Drosophila melanogaster: one gene and its partners. The protein of the gene in region 2 interacts with the protein of the main gene of each other region in a pairwise test. Each region holds a gene or a part of one and is shown on either strand. Other genes may lie near its edges.

The links. Proteins that work in one complex are often made in the same cells at the same time.
Region 1: the proteins of CG15293 (region 2) and CG32425 interact in a two-hybrid assay, tested with the Drosophila melanogaster proteins (one large-scale study listed by BioGRID).
Region 3: the proteins of CG15293 (region 2) and CG7763 interact in a two-hybrid assay, tested with the Drosophila melanogaster proteins (one large-scale study listed by BioGRID).

Annotation. Positions count from the first base shown.
Region 1 is NT_037436.4:20,495,482-20,501,041, forward strand, and holds the start of CG32425 (uncharacterized protein), read left to right. Parts: upstream 1-1,841; 5' UTR 1,842-1,944; exon of another isoform or gene 1,945-2,154; coding exon of another isoform or gene 2,155-2,983; intron 2,984-4,354; exon of another isoform or gene 4,355-4,390; coding exon of another isoform or gene 4,391-5,560. Other genes in the region: ND-39 (NADH dehydrogenase (ubiquinone) 39 kDa subunit), read left to right, coding at 1-38, 144-594, 677-1,042, 1,111-1,504; CG18281 (uncharacterized protein), read left to right, coding at 4,391-5,560.
Region 2 is NT_033779.5:14,107,298-14,112,173, reverse strand, and holds CG15293 (uncharacterized protein), read left to right. Parts: upstream 1-2,726; 5' UTR 2,727-2,922; coding exon 2,923-2,979; intron 2,980-3,033; coding exon 3,034-3,978; 3' UTR 3,979-4,117; downstream 4,118-4,876. Other genes in the region: CG31769 (uncharacterized protein), read left to right, coding at 1,489-1,542, 1,600-2,481.
Region 3 is NT_033778.4:11,412,277-11,416,681, reverse strand, and holds CG7763 (uncharacterized protein), read right to left. Parts: upstream 2,173-4,405; 5' UTR 2,127-2,172; coding exon 2,058-2,126; intron 1,997-2,057; coding exon 1,367-1,996; 3' UTR 1,220-1,366; downstream 1-1,219. Other genes in the region: drip, read left to right, coding at 3,697-4,050, 4,108-4,254.

The DNA.
Region 1 (5,560 bases), on a different chromosome or scaffold from region 2:
GGCCGCCATAGTACTAACCCGTAATCTCCAGCTGGCCAGTGAGTACCGTGCCTGCGGTCGAAAACCGCCAGGCAATCCAATTATGTAATACGATGTTTGTGGCTAACTTTTGGCTCATTCTCTGTCCAATTCCGGATACTTAGAGCACCACGGCAGTGGCGTGGTTGGAGTTTTGTGCCTGCGTGGATATTCCGCCGCTGCTGCGCCGCCGGAAGATGGTCCACGTCCACTGAAGACCACCAATCCGGCTGCCATGAAGCGCGGAACTGGCGGACGTAGCAGTTTCAATGGGATCGTGGCGACCGTTTTCGGTGCCACCGGTTTCGTGGGCCGCTATGTCTGCAACAAACTGGGCAAATCTGGCACCCAGATGATCCTGCCCTATCGCGGTGACGATTCGGATGTTATCCGTCTTAAGGTCACCGGTGATCTTGGCCAGGTACTCTTTCACTTCTACAACCTGGAGGATCCCGCCTCCATTCGTGACGCAGTCAAGCACTCGAACGTGGTCATCAACCTGGTGGGCAGGGACTTCGAGACCAAGAACTTCAAGTTCAAGGATGTCCATGTCAACGGAGCGGAGAGGATCGCTAGGTGAACATCATAGCCAGCATTATTTGCCTGCCCACTTCTTCATTCTAACTTTGCATGACGTAAACCACTTTTATTTCTTCAGGATTGCGCGCGAGGCTGGCGTGGAGCGCTTAATCCACCTGTCCTCTTTGAACGTGGAGGCCAATCCCAAGGATCTGTACGTCAAGGGCGGCAGCGAGTGGCTGAAAAGCAAGTACGAGGGTGAGCTTCGCGTACGCGACGCCTTTCCCAACGCCACGATCATCCGCCCTGCGGATATCTACGGATCCGAGGATCGCTTCTTGCGCTACTACGCCCACATCTGGCGCCGTCAGTTCCGCTCGATGCCGCTGTGGCACAAGGGAGAGAAGACCGTCAAGCAGCCCGTCTACGTTTCGGACGTGGCCCAGGCCATCATCAACGCCGCCAAGGATCCGGACAGCGCTGGCCGCATCTACCAGGCTGTGGGGTAAGTCAATCTCCGAGTCCAAGTATTTGTACCATGTACATTTTCTTAATTTCCTTTATTCTCTGCAGACCTAAACGCTATCAGTTGAGCGAGCTGGTCGACTGGTTCCACCGCCTGATGCGCAAGGACCAGAAGCGCTGGGGCTACATGCGCTACGACATGCGCTGGGACCCCACCTTCCTGCTGAAAGCCAAGCTGAACAGCTTCATCTGCCCCGGCACCCCGATTGGCGGTCTGCATCCCGCTCGCATCGAACGCGAGGCTGTCACCGACAAGGTTCTGACTGGTGTCCCCACGCTTGAGGATTTGGGCGTCACGCTGACCACAATGGAGCAGCAGGTGCCATGGGAGCTGCGTCCCTACCGCGCCGCCCTCTACTACGACGCCGAGCTGGGCGAGTTCGAGACTCCCTCGCCGCCCAAGTGCATCGAGGCGCGCGATGAACTGCGTCTGTTTGCCTAAGCGGAGCGAAGTAGCTGTCTGTGTTGATTGGAAATTTTTAGTTGGAATTGTTTAAGGCGATGCGTCAATAAAGAGAAGTCGAAAGACCCAATGACAACGAAGGAAACTTATATTTCCAAATATTATATAGACATTGATATATGTATTTATTTCGTGCATTTAAATATAAAAAAATTTATAAATACTTTTGAAAAAAAAGTCAAATGGCTAGAAAAGTTTGATGTCGGAAAAAAGATTGGCAGCTCGAAATACCTTTGGTATTTTTCGGTATCTTATTGAGGTGACATCGCTCCGGCAACTAAATCAAAACAAATGAAATCGCTGTCATCGTCTGGCAACGCTTCGCCCGTCCGATTTTTCTTCCTTTGCGACCAGGAGCTTTTCTGCAGCAGTTTCCTCCGAAACTTACGCCCGTGCAGATTTATGGCCGGAAAATCATAGTACGGAAAATTCGATTTCCCAAGTTTTCTGAGTCTGTGTGTGTGTGTGTTTTTGGTGTGTGTAAAGATTTTCAACTTTTCAGCTTGGTTAAGCGGTGAAAAAAGAATATATCAACAACAACACAAGCGCGCGCCCGCCTCTCTTTTCGCGTTTTTGTGCGTGTGAGTGAGAGTGAGTGTGATAATTATGGCATAAGTGGCATACAAATTATGATAGCAGAATTCCCACGGCCGACGACGAATGTGAATTGGGAAAATCGAAAAAGCAGGCAAAGCCAGGAGGCGGATAAATCGCCGAGCGAGTGCAGCAAATCGATCAGCTGTGACGTCGACGGGGGCAGAAAGTTTGGCCAAAAGAAAAGGTCAAACAAGCAGCAGCAGCAACAACAACAACAACTGCACGCGGAACGGAAAGAGGAGGAGCTCTGTCACAAGCAAGGGGTAAAGGATAAGAGTAGTAAGAAGAAGGAGAATCTAGCAGGCGAGGAGGATAAGAAGAAAAAGCAAGAGGAAAGGGAACATAGCAAGAAGAAGCAGCAGCTTCAGCAGAAGCAAAGGGCAAATAACAAGAAGAAGAAGCGGCATCAGCCTCCCCGTGTACAGAGGAAAAAAAACCTCGTCTTATTTTTAGATTATTTACGCCAGTTTGGTGCCGTCGAAAGCGAAATTGTCGCTGTTGAATCAGCCGGCTGCTGTGACGTCAGAGAAGCAGGCTGCCATCACGCCAACGGTAAATACGCCGCCCATAACGGCACTTGGAGCCATTTCGAGCATAAAACCGAAATTTATGCTCTATATCGTCACCTGGAGATCGGTGGCCCGCTCGAACAAGTGCAACAGCAACAGCAGCTGAGGGTCTGTCCAATCAAGACCCGGCTGCGCTTCGAGATGCTCTTTGCCGAGCCACCGCCCACCCAGGGCCACGCCCCCACCGCCCACGGTCACGATCATACGGCCGATGATATGCCAGATGCGCCACCTGGCGGCGAGCCGGTGATCCCAATGCTGCAGGATCAGCAAAACAGCGAACTTATGGCCGGTGAGTCTAATCTAAAGATATTAAGTTAAAAAAACAACAAGCGGGCTTTATTTCCACAATAATTTACAAATTATTACTTTAATAAATAACGCAATTTAAGCAACAAAGTTTTAAAAGCCTATCACTATGCATGCTAAAAAAAATATATTGCAAACCTAAAGGGATATGACTCATTAGATAAAATGAGTCAATAATAAAAAGCTATCCCTCGAACGATATGTATGAAATATATCCAAACATTTTTATAATTTATAATTTAATACAGACAAATAGTGCGAGATTTGTATTTATATATTTATACCCTTTTCTTGTAGACTAAAAGAGTATTATCGGCTAGATAAAAAGTACGAAACGGGCGGGGAGGTAAGCATTTCCTGCACTCGGAAAAATTGAGAACAAAAAAATAGAGGTCGGTTGCGCTCAGCGTACTCAGTGAATAAATAAACCTTCTTGGTTTCGAGACGAAAATGATCTCAACGTTTATATTTTTTATTTTTCGGAAGAAGTATTGGGTGTAAGATTGTCGAAGAGTCTGAAAAAAGAGAGGAAGACAAATGAAAGCAAAATCATTTGCAATCTGAGAATGGTTTGATCTCGATTTGAGTATGCTGAGAATGATTAGATCTTGGCTAGATTTTAAAATCGAACTTCTCAAAACGAGAACATTTTGGTCACGTCCACTGGTATCGGCAACAAACTGCAAAAAGCTTTCATGTCCACAATTTTGAATTAATTTCTTCACAAATTTGTTTTTGTTTTTCCATTGCTAGCCATGTAATGGGTATGTGATAGTCGAAGAACTCGACTAAAGCGTGCTTTTTCGGTTTGGTATACATATGTATACTTACAATATTCTCATATCCGCACTTCTAAGTTGTGATTGTGATTTGCAAAAATGTCACTATTTATTCACAGTCATATAGAAAGTTTAGGCATGCATACTCAACCCATATTTTAAGACACGAAAATATGTTAAATAATTTTTAATGGCTTACCTTTAAAAAGTTCTAAAAGTAGATGGCTTTACTTGTTGGCTTGTAAATCGGAACCTTATGGTTCTATTCTCACTAACAAGAGAGGGAAATGTTTGTTATTATTAATAGCTTGGATGAATAATGTTAATATATTTGTGAAAATTTCAGCTATTTTGAAAACAAACTTTTAAATTCTCTTATTTGCGTTTTGCTTACGATCTCTTTGACACATCTCTTTGCTTTCTGCGAGGAGTTCTAGTTTAAACGATATATATTTTAAACGACAAAATAGTGTAGTATAGTTCGAGTATCATGTTTTTTACAGTGCAGCCATAACTATATTTTCTATAAAACTGAGGCGTATAAATTGGATTTAAACTGGAGTTGTCAGGCTATTCTGGCGTTGGCCAGTTCGCGGACAGAACACTAAAAAATGGCGCAGTTGAAGTTTCTTAGACCCCTGGTGAAAGTATTGGTTAATCGTTCTGGAATCGGAAAAGCAAGTGTTTGGCACGCGGTGATCGTTACGTTTATGCACTACTTCTCCTGGGGTCTTCTCACCGTTCCCTTCATCGAAAAATTGTCGGGATCGTTTGGGAATCGCGTCCTTCTCGTCGATGGACTGGTTTATGGAGTTAGAGGAATCCTGGGATTTGTGACCACGCCCGTGATGGGTGCCATTTCCGATTTTCATGGCCGGAAAGTAGTGATGCTACTGGCAGTGGCAACCACCTACGCTCCAATTCCATTCATGATGTTGAAGAGTTGGTGGTTTTTCGCCATTCTCACTGTGAGCTCCATCTGTGGCAGCACTTACTCCTCTTCATTGGCCTATGTGGCAGACACAACTACTGTGGAGAATCGTTCAAAAGGCTATGGCATTGTTGCGGCCAGTTTTGGCGCAGGAATAGCCTTTTCACCATCGTTGGGGAATTACTTGATGAAATCGTACGGGTCCGCATCAGTTATTTTGATTGCCGCCATCACAGGCTTGATTAATATAATGTTTATCATATTTGCGGTGCCAGAGAGTTTAGTTTTAAAAGAAAAAAATAATATGTTGGATGAAGAGAGTGATAACAAGATGGAGGACATTAACCCGAAGGAAAGGAAAGAGATCTTAAACAGAGAAGAAAAATTGAATAACCACGTTTCAGCGAACAAATCCAACCACGGCACATCACAAAATCTAGTCACAAATAAAGAGCTGGGCCAACAGTTCAACAAAGAGGAAAACCTTCAGAATGATTTAACTGAAAAGGAGAAAATTGATAATGGATCCCTAAACTCTTCCGATCTTTGGGAAGTGCTGCGTAAAAGTCGTAAGGATAAGAACCTGCTCGTGATATACCTCATAACATTCCTCTCGATTTGGCCCTTTGCAGGAGTGGATTCTACTGCGCCCGTTTATCTCAAAACTAATATGGGATTTGAGTACGAGGAGGTGTCCATGATGTTGGGATTACTATCTGTGCTGGCGATCACATCCAATCTCCTTCTCGGTTATATTATAAACATAGTGGGGGCCAAGTGGTCGATCCGACTGGGATTATTACTCCTGCTATTGCAGTTGTTCTTCTTCGGCTTTGGAACCCATCATTGG
Region 2 (4,876 bases):
ATAGCACGCGCCAACGCAGCACTCGCCCCTCGGCCTACCTGCCCCCTAAGCCAAGTTCGTTCTGGCTTTAGCCCCGATACCCCTTTATCCTTGACAGTGCCGGCGCTCGCTCGACCCTTTTAAAAAGTCGTCAATACTCGCCTTGTCTGCCCCCGTCCGTGGAAAAGGACGAAAAGGGTTTGGGGATACGTGCAACGGCCTCCGAGCTCTGAGCTCTGAGCAAGGACTCCGGCCAGAATGGGGAGCAGCCACGGGGCCACGAACCTGGGACCAGGACAAGGACCAGAGAACCGGGCGTCTATCAAATTCCAATTTCGGTCCCTTTTTTATCCTCCGCTCCGTTGGCATTCAAGGTTTATGGCGTCTTTTTAGCGTAAATCCTGCATGGCCATGACTGAAGTCCGGTCCCGCTGTTGCACCATTCAGCGACCGTTGCTGGACCGTGACCTCCCAGCTCCCGAGTCTACATAATTCCATCCTATCAGTGGAGCTACATCTTCAATATCCTATCTTCGTCACCCATACTTGGGCACATTCCTACCGAACACCAAAGGACCTAGAGGTACACTTTTATTTTGTTCATGCCGCAATAACATGTCGTTCATTTTAACGGCTATTTGGAACTTCACTTGATAGAAAGTTTTGATTTTCGCAGTATTTTGCTGCTGATTACACTAGGAAACAGTAATATATAATATTGATATTTTTTCTATGTTTTATGTTTTCATCTTTCCTTTTAGCTATAAAATAATATGTGTAATCAGTAAGGCCATTCACGGAAGTGAACTGTTTGGAATCAAAAAAACCAAACTAGTTGAATCATTGCTCACCGCTATCAATAGCTTGGGATTACACTTGCAATAAAGAAATTCAAAGCTCTGTAACTAAAATTTTATTGGCGGTGATGAGCAATTTGCATTCCCGGGTATACCCAACATGTTTTATTGTGAATTTTTAGATTATGAATACTCATTAAATGTCAATTTAAGGCGCACTCTCAAGCTTAAAAACCCGCAGTACTGAACTATTCCTAATGGCTGAGTAGAAACATATAGTTGGATGATGAGTTTTTAAGGCTGAGAGCGGAGTGACTTGTTTTTCAAGTGAAAAGCACAATTTAGACTGCAAAAACCGGTCTTTTCCGCTGGCAAATGGCAGACAACAATTCTCAGTTCTCATACGTGATAAGCTTACATTATTTATGAATAATTTTTTTATTTTAATACGAGCGAAGTTTTGAGTTTTGTAAATTTATTAATATGTATCCGCATTTAAAGGGAAAAAAGCTTAAAGTTCCTTTCAAGATGGCTTCATTCTCTGCGTAAACAGCTGTATACGTGACTCTAAGAATAAATCTAAATATATACTATATATATATATATACATACAGCGCGATTAGTATCGATCGTCAATTGTGCGCTATGCGGAATCAAGTTCAGTTTCAACTAGGTACTCGAAGCGGTCGCATGTTCCGGTTTAAAACAAAGAATGAATTTCGAAAGTCATCTGATTGTTTGCATTAGTTTGCTTCTTCAATTACGGGTAACTAACTTAATATCCCAAACATACAAAAAATATTACTATTTTTCCCATTTGCAGATGGGAGCAACTATGCCTATGGAACGGCCACTCCCCCCCTCTGTGTATGCACAGGCTAGGCATTGGAACGTGCTTGAAACAGTCGTAAATAATATGCGGATCACTAAAAGGCCGTGGATAGTTACAAAAACTAAACCGTGCGGTGAGGTGATTAGGGAAACCTACATGTTGAGCCCCAACGAAGAGGAACTCATAAGGAGAACGGAAGTCATGCTCTTGCAAGCTCAAGGAAAATTGGAATGTTTACTTAGCCAGTTTCAACCGACATTACGACTTGGCAGTGTCTACAATAATCCCTTTCTAAACCCGGTCGGTTTTGGTTTTCCTGACTATAACGTCTTCCAAAATTTTCCGTTTATCCCGGAATTTAAGCCGCAACGTATTCCTCCCGAAGAAGATCGCAGTAATGAAAATAATCCTCGCCGAGAAGATCCGCGGGTAAATGAGCAGGATGCGTGGAATTTACGCCCTCAAGACGTCCCCAAAGAAAATGAACACATTCCCAATAGTGAATCGGATAGTGATAGATGGCTGCCAAATCCAACATCCACACACCGGCCTATCGTAACTTTGCCTACCCTGGCACCCCCAAACTTGAAGGATACGGAGCCCATATGGGTTCCAGTCCCAGAACCAACATCAACCGAGCGAAGTTCGGTCCCGCTGCCCACGCTCGCACCCAAAGGCGACGGAACTGACTCGACAATCGATGACTTTTTGGCAAAGGTGGATCTCACTGTCGCGGACATCAAAGAGGAGGATGGCCAGGTGGTCACCACAATCGTGGACAAACAAGGACGCGTTCTAAGTGCCAGTTTTGCACTGAGCAATGAGAACGAACAAGGGGGTGCGGCAAACTATCAAAGTCGCACTGGAAAATGATATACATAAATAAAGAGATATGTGAACAAGAAAAGCTCAATTTAAATTAACAGAAAAGTTTAGTATAAATAATATAAATAAATCTATGTTTACCGCATTGAACCTTCTTGTAGTGGCAATATAAGTATTGAAAACTTATATAGTAGTTTCTTGTTCATTACAGTATGATTCAACTTCTAAACGCAATTTAACAAAGTGAATTTCCAGGATCCAGAAGCAATTTGTTATAAGAAACTTATGAAGAAACTACAATATGTTTTTATGAAAGCTTTGGGAAACGCATTCTGTTAACACTCTTTGATAATGGCGACTTTGCGAAAACTGTTGATAACCTTTGAGTAGACACTGCGAATAGAAGCGACGAGGTCAGTCGATTAGAATTCTAAAATCAGTTCGATTCTGTCGATCGAAGTATTCACAAGTGTCGCGGAAAGATCGAATATGCAGTACTCCTATCTACTGGCAATCTGTGTCAGCTTGCTGCTTCTGAAGCTGAAGGTAGGTCATGGAAATCTCCAGAAATCTGAAACTGACGTCATCTTTCGCTCACAGGGAGCAGCTGCCACTTCTTTATCCGCCGAACCGACTCCGGAACTTTTGAATGCGGCCAAGCAAATAGGTTTAGATGAAGTTGGCTTGCGAGAAATGTGGCACAGCCAGCAGCCGCTGGTTATCAGAACTCAAAACGATGCTGGTCAAGTCACCACTTTGACCTATGAGTTAGGTCCGGATTTCAGATCGATTTTAAGACGCAAGGTCTCAGAGGGAATACTGCCTGCTAGGCTAGAGGATAATTCAGGCTCTAAGCCCCAGCAAGATTGGGAGTATGTGCCGAGTGCCGGTCGTCAGTTCCGTCCCATTGGAGATTCCAACTTCGGTACAGGTAATTTCGAGACAAAGATATTTAGCACTGAATTTCCGAGATTTCCGAATTGGGAGCTGCCAGCGGGAGTTACTCCGAAAGTTACAACCAAGACGGAAACGGATAGCTCGGGACGCAAGGTGACCACCACAACTAGAACTTATAGCGGCATTCTGGTCCCAGGCAGTAATGTATTCAAGCAGATATTCCCCGACATCTCCAGAGAGCCTGGTCCAATTAACACAGACTCAAACCATCCAGCCGAGAATCCTAACACCTCAGTCTTTTCCCCATCTCGTTCCCCATCTACTGGACCTATTGATTTCAACTATGTATATAATTCCCGACCAAGCCAAAGGGAACCCGTCTTTGTGCCAGTGATTGACTCAACCACCACGCAGCGGACTTCAGTTCCCCGGTTCAGTTCAGCATTACCAAGAGACGACGGATCAGATCGAGTCATAGATGATTATTTGAAACAAGTGAATCTGAGTGCCTCAGAAATTGAGAATTCGAATGGTGAAGTGGTCAAGACTATTGTGGATAAGAATGGCAGAATTCTAACTGCCAGATTTGTTCTAAGCTCAGTCAAAGGAACCAACGAAGGATCTCAGCAGCAGAGGCCGACCAAGTAAATAGCTCATTATAAATATTAATATATGGAAATCATCGCAATATTTTGTAAACAATGCTTAGCGCAGTTTAATAAATAAGCTTATCAGCCTGGGCTAAACCCAGAAATTGTAATAAAATTTCTAAATCAATCTATCACTGAAATATAACCTTTATATATGTAGGTGGGAATTTGATAAGGGTGTCTGATTTGATACATAACTTTCAGTTTAATCGAAATGGAATGGAAAATATTGTACAAACTTACCTGCTTATATATATATATATATATATTGGCAAATTTAAATATACATATGTTAGCAACTACAAAGCGCTCTAAATTATTCAAAAACTACTCGCATACATGTGTACATTTTGGGAAATTAATAATTCTTTATTTTCAGATCGTTGGCCAAATTAATTAAAAAGCATTAATAGTTTTGTATAGCTAATTTATTACAAACATTTTTTTTGTTTTCGCTAACAACTGAGCTGTAAAAAATAAAAGAAAGGAAAAATATAATTGGGATAATAAAAAAATCAACGAAATAATATAAAATAATAACATTTGGAAACTAAGCATGATAAACAAAACATTTCAGCAAGGGAAAAAAATACTTGCAGTCAAAAATAATTCAAGCATTAGGAGATCAAAATTATAAATATATAAAAAACGCAGCGCGGAACGAGAAATTCAATTGGAATTTCACGGCAAACTGATTAAAGCACGTCGAAAAAAACTATTGCATAATTTTGTGCGCAGCTCAGTGCAAAACGCATTTGGTGGCCGAAAGCAATGTGTTGGTCATGGGTGATTCGGTTGCAGTTCTTTGTAGTTGTGTGGCTGACAGCCTGGTGGTAGTTGTTCGGCTGACAAAAGTGCATTTCTGTCATTGTCTTTCTCGCTCGTTAGCATTGCAT
Region 3 (4,405 bases), on a different chromosome or scaffold from region 2:
TGGGTGCATTCCACACCACTTAACGTATCCAACAAGCTGCCACACACCACCTTATCACTCTGGGCGCTCATATTACTCGTACTGCCGCAGGTAAACTGCTGCAATGGTTAATTATTGGTTTATTATACACAATCTTTTGCACTCGCGAATTGGCAAGGAGAGAAAAAAAAAATTTTCCCACAAGCCGTACCGCCGCAGTGGGTTGATCGTGTTTTAATTATGTTATAGGTATCGTACAACTTTTGCGCTCGGCATGGGCGACGTGGCGTCCTCCGGTAGCGGGTCGTTGTTTTATTAATTTAAATTAGGTCTTGGCGCAACATAGGTTTACATTTTTATTTTAGAAATTTTACACCTTTTATTGAATTATGCAATATTTGTTGCGCCCCGGGATGGGCGTAGTTCCCCCCGGCAGCGGGTAATTGCTATTTTATCATTTTATACACAGCTCACGCAGCACTTCTTTTTCATTTATGGATTTCAGATCTTAATCTGACTTATGCACACCACCACTATTTTTACGCACAAATTTCCACAATTTTTTCGTATCACTTTTATCGGCCGGACATTGCCGGTCCCTGCTCGGGCGCCAGTTAACGCAAGTTCCACTTGCATCAGGGTTCTCGGCACTCGCTGCCGCATACCTCACCTCGATATGACAACCAACATGCTGTGGTTCTCCAAATAATAGTCAAGATAGTTAAGAGGGTTCGAGTTTACGATTAGCTTTATTTTAAGATTCAGTTCGCGATCTGCTAGCGGTTCCGTTATGTGTCCGTTCGACACTGGGGCCTCTTCTCCCGCCCCGCTGCTTTTATATCCGCTTCCCCCGTTGACCCCTCACCCTGAGTGCGACCAACGGCACTTGTTCCGAATGCACACATACACAAACATGTTCCTAGACAGGCCCCGAGTCGCCTGCTGACGGGGCCCGAAAACACGAGAGCCGAGCGCTGGTGAGTCCTGACGAAGATCGCAAGAAGAGGGTTCGTAACTTACACGAACATGTTACTAGACAGGCCCCGAGTCGCCTGCTGACGGGGCCCGAAAACACGAGAGCCGAGCGCTGGTGAGTCCTGACGAAGAGCGCAAGAAGAGGGTTCTTAACTTATATATCTCGATCGGGGGAAGAGTCTTGCCAGACTTTTTGTAGCCAATGGAAAACCTTGAGAGCACGGAGAGTGCTGACACAAAATAATGAAATAGTGGTCAATTCATATAGGATTATATGTATATTCGTAAATAAAGTCTTATTCCAACTTGTTCGTTTTGAAATAAACATTATACTTATTTCCTCCATAAACCATGTGGTAAATGTCAGATATCAAAAACTAATATTAACTTCAAAGAGATAAATATTTTTGTATTATATTTCAATAGATTTTTCGCAAATAAAATAGAGATTGGCAAAACATGAGTTATCGTTCATGGTAGTTTTCCCATTGAATGTTCGGATATCCACACACTCTCCATCTTTTGTGGGTTCCCCATCGGCCCAACTCAAAAAATTGGCCTTCGATCCTTTGGTCACAGAAACGAATTCACTTTCGTTGAACTGATTGGTCACGTCGATCCAGTAGCGATTCAGGCCATTAAGTTGGTTATTGAATCTATCCAATTCCTCCTGACTTTGCAGACTGGCCAGATGGCCACCCATTTTGTGGCATTTATCCAAAGCATCGTGCCAGTTTAGCTTCTCTTCCTTTTCGATGTAGTAGTATTTGCTTCCCAGTTGTTGGAAAATTTCGTTTTCTTCCAGTTTTCTGCCCATTGCTGTACCGTGTGTCAGCAGTTGTTGCGAAGTATTTTGATTTTCCAGCTGCAAGTTCGTTGAAGTGCCAAAATTGTCCAGTCTTCGGTCATTTAGGGCTATTCTCGCTATTGCAACAGCTGCTTCACAGGCTTCAACCCTTCGTTGCAAATTGCCCATGCTCGCGATGCAGGGATTCAAGACACCGTAGCAATATGCAGCACATTGGGAATCGCTTTCAACGCCCTAAGAAGATATGTGAATGTAAATATTTAGCATTTCTAAACCACTTCTCTACTTCACTCACCTCGCAGGCTGCTGAATAACTTGAACTCAGACACAACGGGAGTACCAAAAATATAATAGATTTTTGCATTGCTGCGATTCTGAGATCTTTTAAATCCGAGTGCCAAAAACAGACTGACTTAAATGCTTCGAAACCAAGTATATTAGAAAGAAATCCAATAAAGAAAGAAACAGAAAATCTGACGCTGCATGATGATAAGAGATAGGTACTATGTACGACTTATCGCTCTGCACAGCATGTGGGTATAGTTATCTGCATACACAGAAAAACATAATGCAATTCATAATTCATAAAAATTAAAAATATATTTAACATTTTTTAATTAGATCGGCTTAGAACTAAAAAGTCACATAGTGTAATTAACCCATTCGAAATGCGTAATAAACTCGTAGCGTAATCACATAGGCCTAACTCGATTAGAGCCATATTTCATCGATGACTCACGTCTAAGTTCAGTCAGTCCGTCATTCGCGGTTTTCACACGCAGCCGGTCTGTCGATCTCGATTGCTTTCGTTGCATATATTAAATTTAATTATGGGTTTCGGGCTCGACAATAAATTTGATTAATTTCACGACTCTTCGAGTGTGTGCAGCTAAGACGAGTGGAGGCATTGAGTCGAGAACAATAGGCCTAAACTATTGTGGCTAAAAGCTTTAGATCCAAACGATTAGGTCAGGCTGAGTGGCGGCAGCAAAGGCGGCAACTTAGTCTTAGTATAGACGAAGTCGAAATTGCGCTGCACGCATGCGCATAACCAAAATGTCAAGAAGTTGTTCGAGTTGTAGTGGCTGCTCGGATTTGTGGCCTATTGCCGTTTGGGCCGCAAAACGCGACTCGAACTTGCTCTTGGCGGCATTTGTAATTAGCGTTTTGTGGCCGAACAGCCAACACACGGGCATTTTTTTTTGTTTTTTTCTTTTTTGCGCATTTATTAATTAAACGCACAGCGACGCACGACATTGGCCGTGCGTCCAATGCGAACTGCGAACCGCGAAATCCATATCGAAATCGAATTCGTATCACCAAAACGTAGAGAAACACGGCTGGAAAGAGATATCAAACATAGAAGCCTGCACATCGACCTTGGGCGCAGAGTGAACAGTGCATTTCGGGCTCCATTCATAACACTTGATCCAATCCAATCCAATCCAATACGATGCGATGCGATGCGAGGCGATCCGATCCAATGCGATTTCCATTTAAGTGATTCCATGTGATCTCTTCACGGGCAATGACTCAACAGAACCCCGAATCACTTTTACTTCCCAGCCAGCTCCACCTGAACTTTGCAGACACGCTAAACACAATAAATGCACTCGAGTGCATCTCACGTCTGACAAATTGCTTGTATCCGCTGGCAGTTCGATATGCAACGATATTGTGCAATGGAAAATTCGGAAAATCGCACAATCAGCTTCATGGCAAAGGGCAAACTTTGAGCGCAGCTATGGTTAAGATGTTGCGTTGTCAACTCGACATTTGCAAGCGCCGATGGAGGTGGAGATAGGCCATTATCTACATTATGTTCGACTGGGCCTTAGCCTCCTTGATTTGATCTTCATACTTTTTTTCCTCTTTTATTGAGCCTTATAATAAATATATTCTTGAATATCCTCTTATTTTGTTCTCTCTCTCAGGGCTTGGGCCACCTCAGTGGCTGTCACATTAATCCGGCGGTCACCCTTGGATTCCTGATCGTTGGTGAGATCAGCATTCTGAAGGCTGCCTTCTACATCATCGTCCAATGCGTGGGCGCCATTGCTGGAGCGGCTGTGATAAAGGTGGCACTCGATGGAGTGGCTGGTGGCGACCTGGGAGTATCCTCCTTTGATCCCTCCCTGAACTGTGCACAGGCGGTGCTGATCGAAGCGCTGATCACCTTTATTTTGGTTTTCGTGGTCAAGGCTGTTTCGGATCCTGGACGCCAGGATATCAAGGGATCAGCGCCACTGGCTGTTGGTTTGGCCATCGCCGCTGGCCATTTGTGTGCAGTGAGTACGAGGTGATGGAGTTCTCCGACTGGAGGTTAATAAGTGTACCATTTACAGATCAAACTGAGCGGTGCCAGCATGAATCCCGCCCGGTCCTTTGGTCCCGCCGTAGTGCAGGGCGTCTGGACCTATCACTGGGTTTACTGGGTGGGTCCCATTGCCGGCGGCCTGTTGGCCGGAATCATCTACAGATTAATCTTCAAGGTACGCAAGGGCGATGATGAGACCGACTCGTACGACTTCTAAACAGTGGCCGAATACCATATATGTATTTTTGTAAATGTCCGCACCTGCTTTCCATTCCCATCACACATTCGCTTTCCCATCGAATTCGTTTGCCGAAATTTCTCGTAGT